Linked DNA regions of Callithrix jacchus. The protein of the gene in region 1 interacts with the protein of each later gene in a pairwise test. Links are inferred from orthologs where the notes say so. Each region holds a gene or a part of one and is shown in the gene's direction. Other genes may lie near its edges.

Region 1 (3,510 bases):
CTCATTGAATCAGTTTGGAATGAGGAAAAACAGTTGCATTTCTAGCCAGTTCCCAGGATTTGTCCAAGCTGCTGGGTCCATGGACCACACTCTGAGTAGTGAGACTACTGAGGGCAGAAAGGAACTTTCTATCCCTGAAAAAAGCTTCCATGATTTTCCATGTTCACTTGGGTAGGGACCTGGAGATGAGATGAAGGAAAGGGGTCATGATAATTGCTAGTGGATGAAGAGTCAGGTGACGGGTAGGAAGGAGGGGAACGTTGTGATCACCCACAAGATGCTCCCAGTCTGATGAGATGCGATTGTCACAAGCACTTTACAGAAAAGAACTAAGCTGTAACATCTGTGACAGAGAGAAGGGAGCTTCCACTGAGAAGCGTATAGGAAAGGAGCTGTTTTTCCACCTCTCTTAGGAACAAATGATGCAGAGCTTCCCAAATCCAGTCTTGATCCTAAAAGGGAGGGAAGAGTGTGACCTGGGACATATGTGAGGCCCAGGAAACTGAATGGAAGCAAATACATTAATTTGCTGAAGGTCACACAACTAGAAGGGAAACACAGCTAAAAGACAAAAGAAAGCCAGGTGGGGTGGCTCACACCTGTAATCCCAGCACTTTGGGAGGCCAAGGCAGGTGCAACATGAGGTCAGGAGATTGAGACCATCCTGGCTAACACAGTGAAACCCCATCTCTACTAAAAATACAAAAAATTAGCTGGCTGTGGTGGCATGCACCTGTAATCCCAACTACTCGGGAGGCTGAGTCAGGAGAATCACTTGAACCTGGGAGGCGGAGGTTGCAGTGAGCTGAGATTGTGCCACTGCACTCAGCGTGGGTGACAGAGCAAGACTCCATCTCAAAAAAAGAAAAAAAAAAGGCAACAGAGGAAGAGAAGGTAGATCCCACATTGCTGACTGTTGCACTGGTCTGAGAGGTGGTGCTCCAATGACCAGCTGAGGTTGGGGGACAGGGGAAGGGTGCAGTAACAAGGCAGAACATGTTATGTCATGTGACCCTAGGGCCTGTTTTGGAAGAAGGGGCTAGCTGTATTTCAAGGCATTAGCCTCCAAATATCACTGGTGTACTAAGTAGCTGTGAGGCCAGATGAGTGTTTTCTTCTTGTTAAGCCTTTGTTTAATCTTCTGTAATGTGGGGATGTATGTAATGAAATCTCTTCTAGCTTTCAAAATTGCTTGCTACTGTCCCAGGAAGGGAGTGTAGGGGGCAGGGAGTAAGGACCCTACAGAATGTGACTGCAAGACTTCTGTCTTCAGGAGAACAGTCACCAGGTAAAGGAAGAGCTGAGCCAGAAGTTTGACACACTGTACGCCATCCTGGATGAGAAGAAAAGTGAGTTGCTGCAGCGGATCACTCAGGAGCAGGAAGAAAAGCTCAGCTTCATTGAGGCCCTCATCCAGCAGTACCAGGAGCAGCTCGACAAGTCCACGAAGCTGGTGGAGACTGCCATCCAGTCCCTGGACGAGCCTGGGGGAGCCACCTTCCTCTTGGTGAGCAGGACTAGAAGGGTCTGGGTGGAGTCAGTTCAACTCTACAGCTCTAAGTTTCCAGTTAGGCTTCTCTACTGACAACCCATGGACCCTTGGAAAAGTCATTTAAACCCCTCACTTTTCTCATTTGTATGAGAAAATGGGCATGTGACACCCCTACCTTCCTCTTACTGATTTTAGAATGATCAGAGGATGTTTATGAAATGACTTTGTAAGCTGCAAATAGTGTCCCATCTACAGACTATTAATTGAGCCCCTACTGTAGGCCAGGCACAGAGTAGAGGACAAGGAGATAAACCAGACACAGCCCTGCCCTCAAAGAGCTTGTTGGGGAGGACAGAAAAGTCTCAGTTGTAAGACTTCACAGTTCAGGCCGTGCACGGTGGCTCACACCTGTAATCCCAGCACTTTGGGAGGCCGAGGTGGGTGGATCACCTGAGGTTTGCAGTTTGAGACCAGCCTGACTAATATGGTGAAACCCCATCTTTAAAAAAATAAAAGAACAGTCTTCACAGTTCAGTTCAATAAACATTTTCTAAGCTTCTACTGTGGGCCAGGCTTTGTGCTAGACATTAGGTATGAAAAGGTGGTTAGGATTGGGGAGTTCAGGGTTTCAGAGTGTTTGGATTGATACCCCCAGAGTCTAAGCTTCCTGCCAAGACAATGGGAGGGTCCTAGGGTGATGACCAAGTCCTGTGCAGACCATGGACAGAGAGAAAAGTCAAATTCTGCTCAGTTTGGGGTGGGGAGCAGGTCACAACTTGGCTAGGGTAGGGCACCAAATGTCCAACTACAACACCCAGTCGCTGGTTTTGCTGATTTCCTGGAGTCCGCTTCTGTAGTCCTAACCCTTTGTTCTCTCTCCCCCTGCAGACTGCCAAGCAACTCATCAAAAGGTCAGTATCTCCCCAGAGGCTATGATCTAAGCCCCCAGTTCCCAGCATTGCCTCTGTCCAGAAAGCCTTGTCCTGAGCATTAGGTCTGCTGGAGGGTCTCGCTCCAGGCTGGCTTCCCTGACCTTCTGCATCCCTGACTTTTGGGACCACTCATTGTGCTTGAGATTTGAGAGGAAATACTCCATCCCTCCAGGGGAGCCTCAGGGTGGAAGGCCTGGGCGTGGGCAAGGCATGTGCCCTCTCCTCCCTGCGCTGAGCCCCAGAGATCTCACCCAGCCTCTCTCTATGTCTCCCCCACAGCATTGTGGAAGCTTCCAAGGGCTGCCAGTTGGGGAAGACAGAGCAGGGCTTTGAGAACATGGACTGCTTTACTTTGGATTTAGAGTACATAGCAGACGCCCTGAGAGCCATCGACTTTGGGACAGGTAAAGGAGGTGGTGGTGCCACTTGTCTATTTGCCTTCCTGATCCCTGGAAACCAGCATCTCTTCCACTGAACCCCATGGGGAGGCAGATTCACTAATAAACATCCCCAGATATCAATCAAATTCATATAGCCAACTTCTGTGAGGCTGGCTGTGGTGGCTCACGCCTGTAATCCCAGCACTTTGGGAGTCCAAGACAGATGGACCACTTGAGGTCAGGAGTTTGAGACCAGCCTGGCCAACATGGTGAAACCTCCTCTACTAAAAATACAAAAATTAGGCAGACGTGGTGGCACGTGCCTGTAATTCCAGCTATTCAGGAAACCGATGCAGGAGAATCACTTGAATCCAGGAGGTAGGGGTTGCAGTGAGCCAAGATCGTGCCACTGCACTCTAGCCTGGGCAACAGAGCCAGACTCCGTCTCAAAAAAAAATTCATATAGCCAACTTCTAGATGAGCCCAGAGCTAGCACAGTGGCTGGTGCAGAATTTCTGCTCCATAAATTACATATGGATCCATGGCAGGGAGGCCTCTTGGGGCAGTAGAAATAAGGTGGCCTCTGGAATCAGACAGTCTTGAGTTTAAAATCCCGGTTTTGCCACGTGTTTATTATCTGTGTGACCTTTGGCAGGCCCCCTTCTGCCTGAGTTTTATTTTCTAATTTAAAAAATCAGGTTAAAAA
Region 2 (4,145 bases), on another chromosome or scaffold:
CTCCTGGGCTCAAATGATTCTCCCGCCTCACCCTCCCAAGTAGCTGTGACAACAAGTGTGCGTCACATGCCTGGCTGATTTGTGTATTTTTGGTAGAGGTGGGGTTTCACCATGTTGCCCAGGCTGGTCTTGAACTCCTGAACATAAGTGATCTGCCTGCCTCGGCCTCCCAGTGTACTGAGATTACAAATGTGAACCATTTCGCCCAGCCCATTTTTATTTTATTATTATTTTTTGAGACACAGTCTTACTCCATTATCCAGGCTGCAGTGCAGTGGTATGATTTTGGCTCACTGCAGCCTCGAACTCCCTGGACTCAAGCCATCCTCCCACCTCAGCCTCCTACATAGCTGGTACTACAGGTGCACACCACCACACCTGACTAATTTCTGTGTGTGTATTTATTTTATTTTAATTTAATTTTTTGAGATGGAGTCTCACACCGTTGCCCAGGCTGGAGTGCAGTGGCATGATCTTGGTTCAGTGCAACCTCTGCCTCCCGGGCTCAAGGGGTTCTCCTGCCTCAGTCTCCTGAGTAGTTGGGATTATAGGTACGCACCACCATGCCCGGCTAATGTTTGTATTTTTAGTAGAGACGGGGTTTCACCATGTTGACCAGGGTGGTCCTGAACTCCTGACCTCGTGATCCGCCCGATCTGCCGATTACAGGCGTGGGCCACCGCGCTTGGCCTTTATTTTTTTAGTAGAGATGGGGTTTTGCCATGTTGCCCAGGCCGATCTCAAAAACTTGGCCTCAATCCACCTGCCTGGCTTCCAAAAGTGCTGGAATTGCAGGCATGAGCCACCCTACCCAGCCTAGCATTTTAAAAATGATAAACCCACTTCATAGGTTGACAATCCTGTGCAGTGGGTGCTGCTGTTACCTGCCCTGCTTTACAGATGAGGAAACCAGGTGCTTTGAGATAGAAGAGATGGCAGTGCCAGGACTCAGGGGCAGCCTGGCCCCAGGGTCTGTGGATGTGGCCACTGCCTTAACCGCTGGCAAGGATGCTGCTGACCCATCAGCCTCAGGGTTATGGGCCAAGCATGCTCCCACCGTACAATATGCTGTGAGCAGGACACACACAAGGCTTGGGGTACCCCCGAGGTTCATCAAGGGTTGGGGAGGCAGAAGCCCTTCTATTGTGCTTCGGGAGTAGGGGGGGGGAAGGAACAAGAGCCAGCCAGGGACAGCGTGGCCCTACCATCTCCCTGGAGAGACCTCAGCTCTCTGGAATTCATCTATATTTAGCAGGTGGCTGGACAAGAGGCAGATAAGCAGTGCCTGGGGAGGGGGGAGGTCTCCATATATAGTGGGAAGGACAGGACCCCACTCACTCCCTCTTAGGGTGGCCTGTGCCTGCTTGGTGCCTGGTGTGACGTCTCTCAGGATGCCTGAGCCGGGGAAGAAGCCAGGTAGCTCCGGGCCTGCGGTTGGGTCTAAGTGTGGGAGCAGGGGGTGTCTACAATTGGGGAGCAGGGCTAGGAGGGAGTTCTTGAGGGAGCTGAAGAAGACATGGCCACTGAGCCCCAGGATGGGTCAGCCAGTCCTCCTAGGTCCTTTTTTGATTCTCAGTTTCTTTCTCCCATCCCTCTGATGAGAGGTGAAGGTAAACCCAGGGTCAGGGACGCAGAGAGGGGACACAGCCAAGATAGGAAGCAGCCGGGTCAACTCAGAACTCAAAGGGACACCATCCCTGCCCCATTTCCTTCTCCTTCCACAGCAGGGATCCCCGCAGACAGAGCTCACAATTATGCGGAGCACAGCCAGGCTCACGCGGTGCCCTCAGACGAGTCTCCACCCACTCTGGGACTTAGTCTCCCAACCTGGGGACTGGGGCGGGTGTGGTGGTGGGTTGGTTCCTCCTGGTTGTGACATTATCTGCTTCATGAGCCTGTATGGTGTGGTCCCCATGTTGGGGGTGATACAGTCCCTCTTCTCTGAAAGAGGACAGTCAGGAGCCCCTGAACTCAGGCCAAGGGCAGGGAAAATCACAGCCCAGGGTCCTGGGCCTGGGCCGTGCCCTTACCAAGGTTGTCCAGGGCAGAGATCCAGGTCCCCATTCCCCAGTGCCCTCCCAGGCCAGCTTTATCTCAGTTGCTGATTCTCAGCCTGAGGTCCCTGGAGGACAAATTTGGCCACATTCCAAAAAGGCAGAGTTCCCTGCCCCCGCCAAGGGCCCCAGATGGTGGGGGAGGGGAGCTGGGCTCCTCACAGCTATCTCCAAGCTGGGAGAGTGGCATATCCAGGGGACACACACAGCACAAAAGTCTTGTGTGGAGGTCAGGACCACCGCCCTGGCTCTCCTGACTATAGGCTGTGTGATCTTGGAGGAGCCACTTAGCTTCTCTGAGCCTCAGTGTCCTCCTCTGAGAAATGACAGAGTAACTGCACCTACCTCGTAATAATACTATAGGAGTATTACACGAGGGGATGCATGGTAACTGCTTATCACAGTATTTACTAAAAGGGGCTGCAGGGGTGGGGTGCACGCCCCAGCTAGGGGCTGCTGTAGCCTCCATCTGGCCCTTCAGTCTCAGCTTTCAGCAAGAAGCCACGGTCAGTGGAAGTGGCAGCAGGTGGCCCTGCCGTGTTCGAGGCCGAGACAGAGCGGGCAGGAGTGAAGGTGCGCTGGCAGCACAGAGGCAGCGACATCAGTGCCAGTGACAAGTACATCCTGGCTGCAGAGGGCACACGACACACACTGACAGTGCGGGAGGTGGGACCTGCTGACCAAGGGGCCTACGCAGTCATTGCTGGCTCCTCCAAGGTCAAGTTCGAACTCAAGGTCATAGAAGCAGGTAAGATCCTGGTCAGCCTTCCCTGAGGTTCAGGCTTCTGGGGGGAGGGGCAGTGAGGTGCTTCTTCATCCATCCAGGGAACGGGAGGTGCTTTCACAATTTCTTGCCTTTGCTGTGGCTGTGCCCCCACACCCCCCACCAGGAACGCCCTTTCCCCTTTTCTGCACATGACCTCTCTAAGTACCCCCATATGCCACCCTGGCCTCCTAGCCATGCTGGAGGTGGGAGAGGTGAACAAGACTCAACCCCACCCTCCCCCTGCAGACCTCCCTGGGGAGATGACCAGGCACAGATGACACCTTGTGTGCCAGCAGGGAAGCCCTGCCGGAGGTGTGGGTGACAAGGCACACAGCCCAGTCTGAGGGGCTGCTCCAAGGCTGGGGCAGAGCTAGGGCAGGAATGGACCTGGAGCTGTTAGGGGCAGGTGCAGCGGATGTGGGGACTGATGGCTGGGGGCAGGGAGGAGAATGTGAGAGTCAGGCTGGCTCTCCAGCTCAGTATGCGCTGCCTCTGAGGGGCCCGGGCACTGGGGGTCAGACAGGACGGACTTTCCTCGTTCACAGCAGGCTCAGGGGTCCAATGCTCGGGAGAGAGAGTGTAGAGGGGTCTCTGGTTAGTGACTACACCACAACTCCCATCCAATCCCCTCCAGAGAAGGCAGAGGCCATGCTGGCCCCTGCCCCTTCCCCTGCTGAGGGCACTCAAGCCCCTGGAGAAGCCCCGGCCCCAGCTGCTGAGCTGGGAGGAAGTGCCCCAAGTCCTGAAGGTGAGAGGGGCAGGGAGGGGCAGAATCTGTGGGGAGGGGGTGTCTGGGGCAGGTCTCAAAAGCCTTTGCTTGACCAGGTAAGGTGGCTCAGGCTTATAATCCCAGTACTTTGGAGGCCAAGGTGGGTGGATCACTTGAGGTCAGGAGTTTGAGATCAGCCTGGCCAACATGGTGAAACCCCATCTCTACCAAAAAATTAGCTGGGCATGGTGGCACATGCCTGTAACCACAGCTCAGGAGGCTGAGGTAGGAGAATCGCTTGAACCTGGGAGGTGGAGGTTGAAGTGAGCTGAGACTGAGCCATTGCACTCCAGCTTGGGGGATAGAGTGAGATTCCGTCTCAAGAAAAAACAAAGCCTTTGCTCGCAGGGTCAAGCTCAGCAGCTCCCAGCGGCACCACCCCTGAAGCCCCCGATGACCCCATTGGACTTTTCGTGATGCGGCCACAGGATGGCGAGGTGACTGTGGGTGAGTGTGAGTTGCTGTGCCCAGCAGGGGATGGGAAGGGGGGCAGCAGGACACTCCCCAAGCCAGGCCTGTCACCCTGCCCTCGCAGGTGGCAGTATCACCTTCTCAG
Region 3 (4,184 bases), on another chromosome or scaffold:
TTGCCAGCCTGAGGCCAGCTTTCCACAAGAACTCTGCACAAGATACTACAACTCCCTTTCAGGAGGAGTGACTCTTGCTGCAAGCCTGCCATACAGCGGGTGTCATTACCATACCCGAACGCTGCCACCTGGGCAGACCTGCCACGTAGCGCTTGCCCTTTCAGGCAGGGGCTCTACCGCCTGGGTCATTGATTCTTGTCCTGGTGTGGCTGTTTTTCCCTAGTTCATGCTCTGCAGTGTGTCTGCTCTAGACATTCCTCCAACTACAAACTAAGGCATGATTATCTATGAAGAGATTATATATAAAAGGAAATAAGTGAGGAGTGAGCAGTAAGATATTCTTCAGGCACTAATCGTGCCGGGGGTCTGCTTAGCTCTCCTTCCTTGGTGCCCAGAAAGGGGTTACCCACACAGATATGGGGTCTCAGGTGGACAGAAATGCACAGAGAGACTGTGAGCCCCCACAGACACAAACGCAGAGAGGGGCAGACATGCAGAGACAAAACCACCTGGAGACATTTGCCAAGAAACACACTGAGGGTCACGGAAAGAGACAGATTCAGAGACAGCCCAAGACAGAGAGCCAGCGAGGGACCCCAGAAAATGCATAGAAACACACAAAGACTGATACCACAGGAGACAGACACTGAGAGGCGTGAAGGGTGAGGAAGTCTGCTCTCCAGGGCTGGTTGAACCTGGAGTTCAAGGTCGTGGCTTGGCTGGGAAGAGGGAGGGGGATGCCAAAAAAGATCAGTGTCAGATGGACGGGGGGAGAGAGGGTAGGTTTCCACCCTAATTGACACCCCATCCTCCCCTCCCCTCCCCCCAACACCTGCTTCCTGGCTTTAGTGCCTGTTGTCACAAGTATGGAATCCTGGTGGCAGACAAAGGGGTGGGGGTGGGGAGACAGAAAGATGGACAGACACAGGGGGAGACTAAGCAGCAGAGACAGACATATAGAGATACACAGATGGAGAGCCACAGAGACCACAGAAACGGGTCCAGAAAGAGGGAACAGAGAGGAAAACTGGAAACATTCCTTATAGCCTTTTTGTCATTAGTAGGTTCTCCAAGGACCTACTGTGTGCTGGACGTTGGGACATCAAATGCAGGGAGGCAGCTATAAGGGAGGTAGCTGGAGCACCGTGGGGGCCTGGGGCTGGGGGTGGGAGCAGGGCTCCAGGGCCCCGCTGATGGGGTTGGGGAGGAGCCCACGGAGGCATTTGGACCCTTAGTTTGAAAAACGAGAGGAACAGCAGGGCTGTCTCTGAGCTCCCAGACTTGTGTTTGAGCAAAGGAATTCTCTCCTCCTCCCTCTCCCCTCGGGGCGGGGCCCAGCCTCCAGCTATAAAACCCCTGGAGCTTCAGTGCCCGTGGTGAGGCTCAGCCACAAGATTCACAGGATCTCAGACGCAGCCTAGGTATAGGTAAGGGGCTCTGCTGGGCCCTGTGATCTCCACGGACGGTGTCCTTGGGAGAGGGGGCAGGAGGCAGGTGGGGAAGATGTGGGGTGTGGAGAAATCATGCAGAGGTACATGGGGAATACAACTGGAGGTCTCGGAACTTGAGAGGCTCGGACTTTAGGGGGACTTGGGATAGAGGGGAAAATATTAGGATTTGTGGGTTACAGAGATCCTAGTCTGGGGCTGCCAGGACTTGGGTGTCCCAGAATAAAACCACCTAGATCTTGGGGTTCTGGGGGTCTTGGGGGAAAGCTCAGAAGTCAGGGACATCTGGACTTGGAGGTCAAACAGTCTGGGTATCAGGATTTGGGGCTCAGACTCTGAGGGTATCAGGAATTGGGGCGGGGTCTCAGAATCTGGGGTTTTAGGAGTGGAAGCCTCAGAATCTGAGGTTTAGGATAGAAACCATCACCACCTGGAGTGTCATTATCTGGGGCGTCATCATTTGGGCCTCCGAGTTTGGGTATCAAGGTTTTGGGGGGGTCTCATATTCTCGAGGCTTCAGAATTTAGGAGGTCTTAGGATGTCCTGGCCCATATGTGGACCATCAGGAAATGGGCTGTCAGAATCTGGAGCTGTGAGGACTTGTGGTCTCAGAAACACAGGCACCAAAAATCCAGGTCTCAGAATCCATGGGTATTGGGATTTGGGGATGGGCACCCTGTGGCCTAGGATGTCTTGAAGACTTCGGGGTCTAAGAATGTAGGGGTCAGAGTGAGGTCTGTGGACAGAAGGTGCCCTTTGGGCGCTGCCCCAACCCCCCCGCCCCGTGTGATGTATGGGAAGGTGAAAGGGGAGACAGGTGGGGAGGAAAGCAGCCAGCGGGAGGGGTGGGTGGGAGAGGGATGCAGGTGACCAGCTCTCCCAGAAGCCCCCCTTCCTCAAATCCCTTCTTAGGAAATGTCCTCTGTTTCACCATCTACGACATCCCCCCAAAATAGCTCCTGGGGGTGGGGCAGCTATTGTCTTCAGGCCACTGTCCCTTCTCAAATGCCTCCTCCTAATCCCAGCTGGATCAGGTTCCCATGGGCTTGTCATAAGACAAAAGAGAACAGCTGTGCTGAGGGGGGCAGGGTCTGCAGCCTCCGGGCTGTGCCTCAGACCACACCTACCAGGGCCTGTCCTCCTGAGACAGCCAGGAGTCCAGACCCCGGCCTCTCCCGCCTCGGAGCCAGGAGTGCAGACCCCAGCCCCTCCCCCCTCGGACCCAGGAGTGCAGACCCCAGCCTCTCCCGCCTCGGACCCAGGAGTGCAGACCCCAGCCTCTCCCCCTTCGGACCCAGGAGTGCAGACTCCAGCCCCTCCCCCCTCGGACCCAGGAGTCCAGACCCCAGCCTCTCCCGCCTCGGACCCAGGAGTGCAGACCCCAGCCCCTCCCCCCTCGGAGCCAGGAGTCCAGACCCCAGCCCCTCCCGCCTCGGACCCAGGAGTCCAGACCCCAGCCCCTCCCCCCTCGGACCCAGGAGTGCAGACCCCAGCCCCTCCCCCCTCGGACCCAGGAGTGCAGACCCCAGCCTCTCCCGCCTCGGACCCAGGAGTGCAGACCCCAGCCCCTCCCCCTCGGACCCAGGAGTGCAGACCCCAGCCCCTCCCCCTCGGACCCAGGAGTGCAGACCCCAGCCTCTCCCGCCTCGGACCCAGGAGTGCAGACCCCAGCCTCTCCCCCTTCGGACCCAGGAGTGCAGACCCCAGCCCCTCCCCCCTCGGAGCCAGGAGTCCAGACCCCAGCCCCTCCCGCCTCGGACCCAGGAGTCCAGACCCCAGCCCCTCCCCCCTCGGACCCAGGAGTGCAGACCCCAGCCCCTCCCCCCTCGGACCCAGGAGTGCAGACCCCAGCCTCTCCCGCCTCGGACCCAGGAGTGCAGACCCCAGCCCCTCCCCCTCGGACCCAGGAGTGCAGACCCCAGCCCCTCCCCCTCGGACCCAGGAGTGCAGACCCCAGCCTCTCCCGCCTCGGACCCAGGAGTGCAGACCCCAGCCTCTCCCGCCTCGGAGCCAGGAGTGCAGACCCCAGCCTCTCCCCCCTCGGACCCAGGAGTGCAGACCCCAGCCTCTCCCGCCTCGGAGCCAGGAGTGCAGACCCCAGCCCCTCCCCACTCGGACCCAGGAGTGCAGATCCCAGCCCCTCCTCCCTCGGACCCAGGAGTCCAGGCCGCAGCCCCTCCTCCCTCAGACCCAGGAGTGCAGACCCCAGCCCCTCCTCCCTCGGACCCAGGAATCCAGAGCCCAGCTCCTCCTCCCTCGGACCCAGGAGTCCAGACCCCAGTCCCTCCTCCCTCGGACCCAGGAGTCCAGACCCTCAGCGCCTCCTCCCTGGGACCCAGGGGTCCAGACCCCAGCCCCTCCTCCCTCGGACCCAGGAATCCAGACCCCAGCCCCTCCTCCCTCGGACCCAGGAGTCCAGACCCCAGCCCCTCCTCCCTCAGACCCAGGAGTCCAGACCCTCAGCGCCTCCTCCCTCGGACCCAGGAGTCCAGACCCCAGCCTCTCCCCCCTCAGACCCAGGAGTGCAGACTCCAGCCTCTCCCTCCTCGGACCCAGGAGTGCAGACCCCAGTCCCTCCTCCCTCGGACCCAGGGGTCCAGACCCCAGCCCCTCCTCCCTCAGACGCAGGAGTCCAGGCCGCAGCCCCTCCTCCCTCGGACCCAGGTGTCCAGACCCCAGCCCCTCCTCCCTCAGACCCAGGAGTCCAGGCCCCCAGCGCCTCCCCCCTCAGACCCA

Evidence for each region. The genes of interacting proteins can lie anywhere in the genome.
Region 2: the proteins of TRIM63 (region 1) and MYBPC3 interact in a two-hybrid assay, tested with the Homo sapiens proteins (2 studies listed by BioGRID and IntAct). The link is inferred for Callithrix jacchus from reciprocal best matches to the Homo sapiens genes TRIM63 and MYBPC3.
Region 3: the proteins of TRIM63 (region 1) and TNNT1 interact in a two-hybrid assay, tested with the Homo sapiens proteins (2 studies listed by BioGRID and IntAct). The link is inferred for Callithrix jacchus from reciprocal best matches to the Homo sapiens genes TRIM63 and TNNT1.

What each region holds. Positions count from the first base shown.
Region 1 is NC_133508.1:62,712,440-62,715,949, reverse strand, and holds part of TRIM63 (E3 ubiquitin-protein ligase TRIM63), read left to right. Parts: intron 1-1,273; coding exon 1,274-1,507; intron 1,508-2,380; coding exon 2,381-2,403; intron 2,404-2,703; coding exon 2,704-2,828; intron 2,829-3,510. UniProt on the Homo sapiens protein: E3 ubiquitin ligase. Mediates the ubiquitination and subsequent proteasomal degradation of CKM, GMEB1 and HIBADH.
Region 2 is NC_133511.1:112,407,855-112,411,999, reverse strand, and holds the start of MYBPC3 (myosin-binding protein C, cardiac-type), read left to right. Parts: upstream 1-1,336; 5' UTR 1,337-1,391; coding exon 1,392-1,416; intron 1,417-2,535; coding exon 2,536-2,802; intron 2,803-3,454; coding exon 3,455-3,568; intron 3,569-3,937; coding exon 3,938-4,036; intron 4,037-4,124; coding exon 4,125-4,145. UniProt on the Homo sapiens protein: Thick filament-associated protein located in the crossbridge region of vertebrate striated muscle a bands. In vitro it binds MHC, F-actin and native thin filaments, and modifies the activity of actin-activated myosin ATPase.
Region 3 is NC_133523.1:48,010,636-48,014,819, reverse strand, and holds the start of TNNT1 (troponin T, slow skeletal muscle), read left to right. Parts: upstream 1-1,375; 5' UTR 1,376-1,427; intron 1,428-4,184. UniProt on the Homo sapiens protein: Troponin T is the tropomyosin-binding subunit of troponin, the thin filament regulatory complex which confers calcium-sensitivity to striated muscle actomyosin ATPase activity.